Kluyveromyces lactis: one gene and its partner. The protein of the gene in region 2 interacts with the protein of the main gene of each other region in a biochemical or structural test. Links are inferred from orthologs where the notes say so. Each region holds a gene or a part of one and is shown on either strand. Other genes may lie near its edges. The genes, in order: YKU70 and YKU80.

Region 1 (3,817 bases), on a different chromosome or scaffold from region 2:
TGCCCCATATTTGTCCATCACATCAAAACCAGTGGAATATACCGGAAGGGCTAAAACAGTTATAGAGTGCAGCACTTCATTTACCTTCTCTAAACTAAGAGATGGGGATGAAGGAGAAGGAGAAGAAGGCGGCAACATTGAAAAATTTGGTAAAGGTCAACCTGAGACCCCCGTGCCAGAATCTTTTTCCGGCAACGAAGAGCAAAAGCAGTTATGTGAGAACATGAAAACCCTTCATAATGACATTGACATGCGCGCTATATCCTTGTATTCAATTGCTTACTCGAAAGTTCATCCTGAAAACTCAGGATTGGACAACAAGCGTAATGAACCTGAAATATCTAATTGGGCACATGCATGGAGAGGTTTGTTAGACTACTTGTATTATGTTACATCATGGGATGGATGCGATTGTACTAAGATAGATGAGCTATCAACATTTGAGCAAAATTATGGAGTTCAAGTTCTTGAGCTTCTAAGAATACCTCCCGCCAAGGAAATGACAGAGCATGGACAACCTCATGAAGGTGAATATCCTAGTGATCATTTGTGCATGATTGTTAAACTGGGAATCATAATGTAAATATTCATAAACTGTTTAACTATGGACTACACTACAGATTAAGCTTTGCTTTCTTATTTTTGGTGGGTTTCGTATCGACTTCTAAGTTACTCAGACGGTTGTAGAAAGAATTCCAAAGTTTCAGGTATTTTACTAACCGTTGTTGCTTTACGTCATCAGATTTCGCAGAACTGGCAATTCGTGCATAAATCTGCTTCACCTTTTGAAGGGTTTCATCACCTTCATCTTCAGGTTTCGATTTATCCACCTCAATCTGTAAAAGGTATTCCCTTAATATTTTGAAATGCTTTTGTAATGCAGGGTTATGAAAATCTGATGGTCTATACCCATTTTTGAGATTGAAGAAGTTTATCAAAGTTTCTGTCACTTTGCTCATCACTTTATAATCATCTGATTCTATTAACGCAGAATGATTTAAGAAATCAGGAAGTTTTCGGACCTCTTCCATAAATGGAACCTTGTAGAGATAGAAACCTTGGTTATAATCTTTCTTGGAGCTTGGTGTTAGGACAAACATGGATGGTGGAGAGTTTGGCCGTAGTTTTCCCCAGACCATTGCAGACTTCTTTTTGAATAACATTGTTCTATATAGTGATGCTAGTGTCTTGATCGAGCCTGCATAGTCTTCCTCGTTCGGTACAACAAAAGCTGGTACGTCAATGTTGTCATAATAGTGTAAACACTGTTCCGTTGACCTGAATCCTATTAACTTCAAAAATGATTCATGTTCGCTGTATCCGCTTTGAATTTTGAGATTCTCGTCTTCTGTTAATTCTATGATCTCATCGCCAAAAGTGTAGACCTTAGACAACTGACTATTATCAACTGCTTCCCCAGTTTCAGCGTCTAAATATTCTCGGTGAGAGTATGCCTCTCTTCTGACACTACCGTTGGCATATACAAGCTTGTATTTCGAGCCGGGTATCTCATGAGAGACAATAGTATATCCATTCACTGAAACTACCAAATCAGCTCTTTCATCTAACATCAAGGGGCATCGGAATTTGATTCTCTTGATTTCCTTTGTTCTTTTCACTTTCGATTTTATGTACGATGCATTAATGGGATTAGTACTAGGGCCGTGTGAGGATAGCCATGATTGTGCTTCGTTGATCTTTGAACCCCATTTCAAGATATCTGCATACATAGAATCGTCAAATGGTTTATCTTCAGAACCAATGAAAAATGTGACAAAATTGATATAATAGTCATATAAATCGTCGACAACTTTTCTAAGACGAGATCTGCTGTCAACGTTCAAGAACTCAGCCGGTTTGTCGTCATCAGTAAAAAAAAATATTTTCTTGTTAGTCAGTTGCTTCTGTCCTTCTATCGGTTGTAAAAATGTTTCTCTAACTTTGATCAATACTGGAGAAAGTTCAATTGGGTTGTTTGGGTCTGCGATAGGAATCTCATCTTTGAGAAGTATTCTATCCTGTTCTATATCTTCCAACAGATCAGATACACGTTTCATATTCTTATAGTTCACATCACGTAACGGTATTAGTTCATACACATTATCTTCAGCGTTAGGATGAGAACAGTTGTAAATATAACAGCCAACTGCAGTACTTGGCATAACAACTACCAATTGTGACATTAAATCATTTAGTGAATCTAAAATCTCTAAGAGTTGAATTTTGCCTCCAAGATCAGGGTTTGAAAGATACATCGTGGGTGTTAGCTGAATACAAAACACGATACCATCATGTGCTTCGTAGCGTCTCCATTTCTTGTGATCACTTTCTTTATCATCGTCTCTTGTTTGAGTCAATTGACTCTTTAAAAAGTCAGGTTGTTCGAAAGACATCTTAGGTGCAATGGAATTTTCTATCGAAAACTGACGTAGTAACCCACTTTTTAGATCTTCAGTTCTGTGAAGGTTACACTAACCCTTTTCATTTTAACCTAAACCTTGAATCCTTCATTTACTTTGGTTATCTATGAAGGATCTCGTCCCTGATTTTAGAATTATCACCATTCACGTGATCGTGAATGACTTTTACTTTGAGCATGCTCGCTAGTTCCGGGAATAGATTTTAGCAATAGAGCTGTGATAGTAGTTCAGGATGGCATTGTCCGTTAATTCTGAGCTAACGATTTGGATCATGAATTTAAACTTACTTATATATTCTTCTATGTCATATCCCTACGTTCAAGAGCATTGAAATTTAGTTCGAAATAATACAGTTTTGATATGAAAGATTCAATGGGATGTATATCTCTTACAGGCAGATACGTTATCTACATAAACGACTGCTATTAAAGGGTTTGAGAATCAAGTTTTAATTCTGGTATCAGTCTCGTCTAGCCTTATCTTTACCGCAATCCTCAACCCCAATAAGAAAATATTATTGAAACATCTTCTGCGAACCAGGATTGTTACCAAACACTCAACCGCTGGGATCATTTTTGTTCAAAAAGAGCATCATAATCCAGTGACCGATATGGCTATAAAATTGAAAAATCGGTGGCTGGGCGTTGCAATACCTGCATTTCTTGTTGCATTGATTGGGTATGGATCTCATTACTTCATTCTTTCGAACTTTCTTTCATGGAATGAGCAAATATTCTATCAAACATGTCAAACTATGATTTGGGTTTCATACTATTTGGCCATTTATACCAACCCAGGTATACCGCCAAAGGATTTTAAGCCGTCTGCGGAAGAATGGCATAATTACTGTAAAAAGTGTCGGGTTTACAAGCCTGAAAGGGCCCATCATTGTAAAACCTGTAATCAATGCGTATTAGCAATGGACCACCATTGTCCTTGGACGCTCAATTGTGTTGGACACAGCAACTTTCCCCATTTTATGCGCTTCTTATTCTGGGTCATTTTCTCTACTGCTTACCTATTATTTCTCCTTATTGGAAGAATCTATCTACTTTGGTCCATAAGGCATACGGCTTTTCATCATAGGTCTACATCAGAGATCATTTTTATCTGCATTATGACTCCTATGGATGCATTTGTATTGCTCACAGTTTCTTCACTACTAGGAAGGTGTATTTATAACCAATGTTTGCATGGTATGACACAAATTGAATCCTGGGAGATGGACAGAATTCAAAGTTTACATTACAAGAACAGGCTTTTGGCTCAAGTTATAGACCGTTTGGTGGAGCGAAGGCCCGAAATACTTCCCGCCAAGCAGCACGAAATTAATAAATTACTCTCAAAAAGATATGTGAATCAAGAAGATTTCACCAACTTCCCATATGACGTCAACC
Region 2 (3,893 bases):
ATGGCTTGGATGAAATTTTCCGTATAATTTGGAGTTTCTTCAAAGACCTTGGTCTTCTTTCTCAAGCCCGAGGTACCAGGTTTCTGATCTGGATAAGGATTTGTAGCCACAGACACTGTTTTCAATGACATTATTATTATTATTATTGATTGTTGTTGTTTCAGATAGGGGTAGCAGATACCTATTTCCTTCTTTGCGTTTAGTTATAATGTTCAATAGCCAATACTCTATCCTCTCCTTTATGTTACAAAAGATGTGAGTATCAGTAGATGTTATTATCAGAAGGAAACCTTATAATGCAAAGTGAATGTGTTCAAGATGAATGATATTAATTGTGCAATCAATTGGTTTGTAAATCTCTGTGCCAAGCCTTAAAACAGGTTTTTCGTCTTGTGGCTCGTAATTCTTTCTGTGCTTATATGGAAATCTCGTGGTCGAGAATGGAAAGAAGGGAAACGAACTTTAGAGATCTGAAGAATATGGGGAAAAAGGCAGGTTTGCGGACGACAAGGGGCCGTCGTAACGTGGGTTGCCTGGTGCTGGTTGCCATTCGAGATGTAACCCATTCGATTCACCACGTTTTATCCCGCAATTGCATTTTTATACAGAAGTCTCATATATATATATATATGTATAGATATCACTATGTAACCAGTGCCTGAATTAGCTAGCGTGCACCGCGCGCTAATAAGAGGTCCAAATCGAGCAATTCAGGGTCTTGTTCTTCAAACTCTTGTTCAATATTCACTGGTGTTTGTACCGACACCTCTTTCTTTACTACGTTGAACTGTTCCTTGATCCTGTTCGACAGAGAAACGTCAGCGTTGTATTTTGGAGTAATCTTCTTGAGAATCATCTTGCTCATCGGTGGGATGTTTAAGTCCTGTTGATCCCGTTTCCCAACGATGAACTTCTGATGAACGCACTCGAGGATCACTTGCTGCTGTCTATGTAGTGAGATAGCTGGGATTGCTGATGGGTTTCTTGCAGTGGCTCGGAACATTTCACGTTGTGGTAGGGGCAAAGAGGACTGCTCCAGTGCCACGTCTGTATACTTCTGTATCTGGTCACTCTCGTACCATGGCAAGTCCTGTGCATCATTATCCAGATTCATTGAGTCGACAAATTGGCCCATTGCCTCATCTTCGGGCTCCAACTCGGTAGATTCGCACATCTTGGGGAACGCACTGTTTCTTTCATCTTCACTCATTGGAAGACGATTTAATACGAGTAAACGTACCTCGTTGCGATCTTTATCGTGCACTCTAACGGGGAAAAGAGAGCACATCTGTACCTCGTTACCGAATTTTGGTACAAACCGAGCGATGATCAACCTTTTCATCTTGATTAAAGAATCTACTAGCGTGACAAATCCTAAGAAATCACCTTTAGAACCGTTCTTGGAATCGGGAACTAAGTACATGGACTCTGAACAAAGGTAATGTCTTGGCAATTTATCTATATCCATAAACCCTCTTATGTCAAGTCCCGGTTTCTCGGAGAGTTTCCGTTCCTCGTCTAATGGCATCGGTAAGTCTACGTAATCCGCACCGTACCGGTACGCCTTCTTGATAAAATCTTTACTGACGTTAATCATCCGGGGTCCAGTGTTATTACCGGAATCACCATCATCGTCCTTCCTGGTAGTTTCTTTCTTCGGGGATGCACTCGTACTCGCGCTCTGATCTTCGATTTGGTATTCGATAACTGATTTAACAGCACGGTACGTGGGTTGCCCCTCTGAGGAACCCTCTTTCCTCATCACCTTCCTGGAAATAGAACTCACAGATTTCGTACCTGGTACACCTTCCAAATTGATACATAACGATGGTATTCCCAAATCTGATGCGTTAACGTCACCCAACCTCAACTGGCCCTGGAACGTCCTAATGGGCCTAGTCAATTTCAATTTCGGGTCAGCAACAGACTGAATAAGCTCATCGATACCGTATACCAACGGAGTACCTAATTTCAGCCAATTGCCATGTTTAGACTCCTGGTGGCCTTGCTTGTCATTGCAATCTGCTATCACGAGATCAAACGGACACTGATCAGCGAATGTGGACAATTCCTCATCTGTCACATTTTGCAAGTCCTGCGAACTGAACACCACAATCTTAACCTTCATCTTACGTTTCCCAACAAACTCTTTCAACTTTAACACGCTGATCAATAGCCCATTGAACAACATATCGTCATCGTCATCCTCTCCATTGCCAGTAGTGTTATTCCTCTCATCGTACCATTGTCCCAACCAACTTCTAACGTCTGAGATGGAGATTGGTGCCCGTGGTAACACGGGCAACATGGCCATATTATTCACGGGCAACGACTCATCGCTGGATGACACATTAACTAGATTTAATTGCACGTAATCTGTCTTTCTCTGAGATTGAACTTTGTTCAACAGTACATATTCCACATATGTAAAAGCCTTTAACCATTGGTCACCACTAAGAGAACCAACATCAACAACGAAACACGTCAGTTCGGACATCGGGTCTTAGAGCTAATAATTCGACTTCCCTTCTGTACCCCTAAGGCTTAGCTAAGATTCACGTGTGCTGGTTGTATTTGGTCTCTGTCCCCAATTTGGTGATATCTTGTTTCCAGACACTGAGTCTAATAGCAAAAGGCTTTAATATTGGGATAAAGGAGACACACTGAGGCTAGCTAAGTGGGGTAAAAGAGGAGTGTTTCGCCCTCTATATCCCGACTCCTTGATTAATTTCCCGTAACACTGGGATAACAAGGATACAAGAATACCAGGGGACAAGTAGTCAATACGATAATTCAATTGCTTATCTCTCCAATGTCTTGATCAGTAGTAAGCTTTAAATTAAGGGTACAATGACATATACCCTTTGAAAGGCTAAAATGATTAGTAACAAGTGATTACATGACCAGGGAGGCAAAGGCATGATCTCTGATCTGGGTCTAGGCCAAGATGGGGGTCAAGACTATATATAAGAGGGCAGCGAAGTGAGAATAGATGAGTAAGCCCATGGTATGTATAGATTTGTAGAGCTCAGTTATAGTGCAAACCACAACTAAGATCATCAATACAACCAATCAACATGTCACGATTCTTTGACGCTTTTGAAGTATACAACAAGAACAAACACGCACCAGCTGACTTTAAGTCACATGGTGGCAGCAGCTTGAACACGGGAGCCACGACGGCTTACATGTTCGCTCGTGAATACCGGGGCCCCAGCACAGGTGAAAAGAAGGAAGCAGCTGCAGCTGCGCTAGCAGCAGACGTGAAGGCTGGTAAAGTGGAGTTGGTCAACGATCCAAATACTGCCGATTCCTCCAGAAAGTCTAGTGTCAGCGAGGAGGCCATGCCCCAGATGGTAGACATATCGAAGTTGACTAGAGAAGAGTTTGAAGCTTTATATAACAAAATCAATCCCGGTATGCTTCGTAAAGGAGAACCTAACAACAAGGTCAATTTCTAATCAACTACACACCACTATTAGTATATATTTATAAGATTTACAACAAGTAAGTAAACCCTGTGTGTAACTAAGACACAGTATAACACACAGTAATAATAAAGAGATAATAGCATGAGCAGATTAAAGTACAGTGCCGTTCCAGGGTATTTCACCAGTTTTGGTGATGAAAACGTTCTGAGTCATCGTGGTGATGAAGGACAACATCTTGGATTTGTTGATGGATGTAGTGGTTGGGAAGATATCCAAAGGTTGTTGGATGAGGATTCGTCCTTGAAGTTGTTGGTATTGGCAAGACACGGTCAAGGTCACCATAATGCACTTGAATCGAAATACGGTACACAGGAATGGGAGAGGTATTGGGCATTACAACCGGGGGTCCATGAGGTTACGCTCGTGGACGCTCAGTTGACCGAGCTGGGGAAACAGCAAGTT

Evidence for each region.
Region 1: the proteins of YKU80 (region 2) and YKU70 are reported together in a solved structure, tested with the Saccharomyces cerevisiae proteins (4 studies listed by BioGRID, with this or other methods). The link is inferred for Kluyveromyces lactis from reciprocal best matches to the Saccharomyces cerevisiae genes YKU80 and YKU70.

The regions. Positions count from the first base shown.
Region 1 is NC_006039.1:549,259-553,075, reverse strand, and holds YKU70 (ATP-dependent DNA helicase YKU70), read right to left. Parts: upstream 2,394-3,817; coding exon 615-2,393; downstream 1-614. Other genes in the region: NGL2 (RNA exonuclease), read left to right, coding at 1-583; palmitoyltransferase PFA4, read left to right, coding at 3,031-3,817. UniProt on the Saccharomyces cerevisiae protein: Single-stranded DNA-dependent ATP-dependent helicase. Involved in non-homologous end joining (NHEJ) DNA double strand break repair. DNA-binding is sequence-independent but has a high affinity to nicks in double-stranded DNA and to the ends of duplex DNA.
Region 2 is NC_006038.1:1,103,934-1,107,826, reverse strand, and holds YKU80 (ATP-dependent DNA helicase YKU80), read right to left. Parts: upstream 2,498-3,893; coding exon 668-2,497; downstream 1-667. Other genes in the region: KLLA0_B12694g (uncharacterized protein), read right to left, coding at 1-131; SPG4 (Spg4p), read left to right, coding at 3,078-3,461; PMU1 (putative phosphomutase), read left to right, coding at 3,573-3,893. UniProt on the Saccharomyces cerevisiae protein: Single-stranded DNA-dependent ATP-dependent helicase. Involved in non-homologous end joining (NHEJ) DNA double strand break repair. DNA-binding is sequence-independent but has a high affinity to nicks in double-stranded DNA and to the ends of duplex DNA.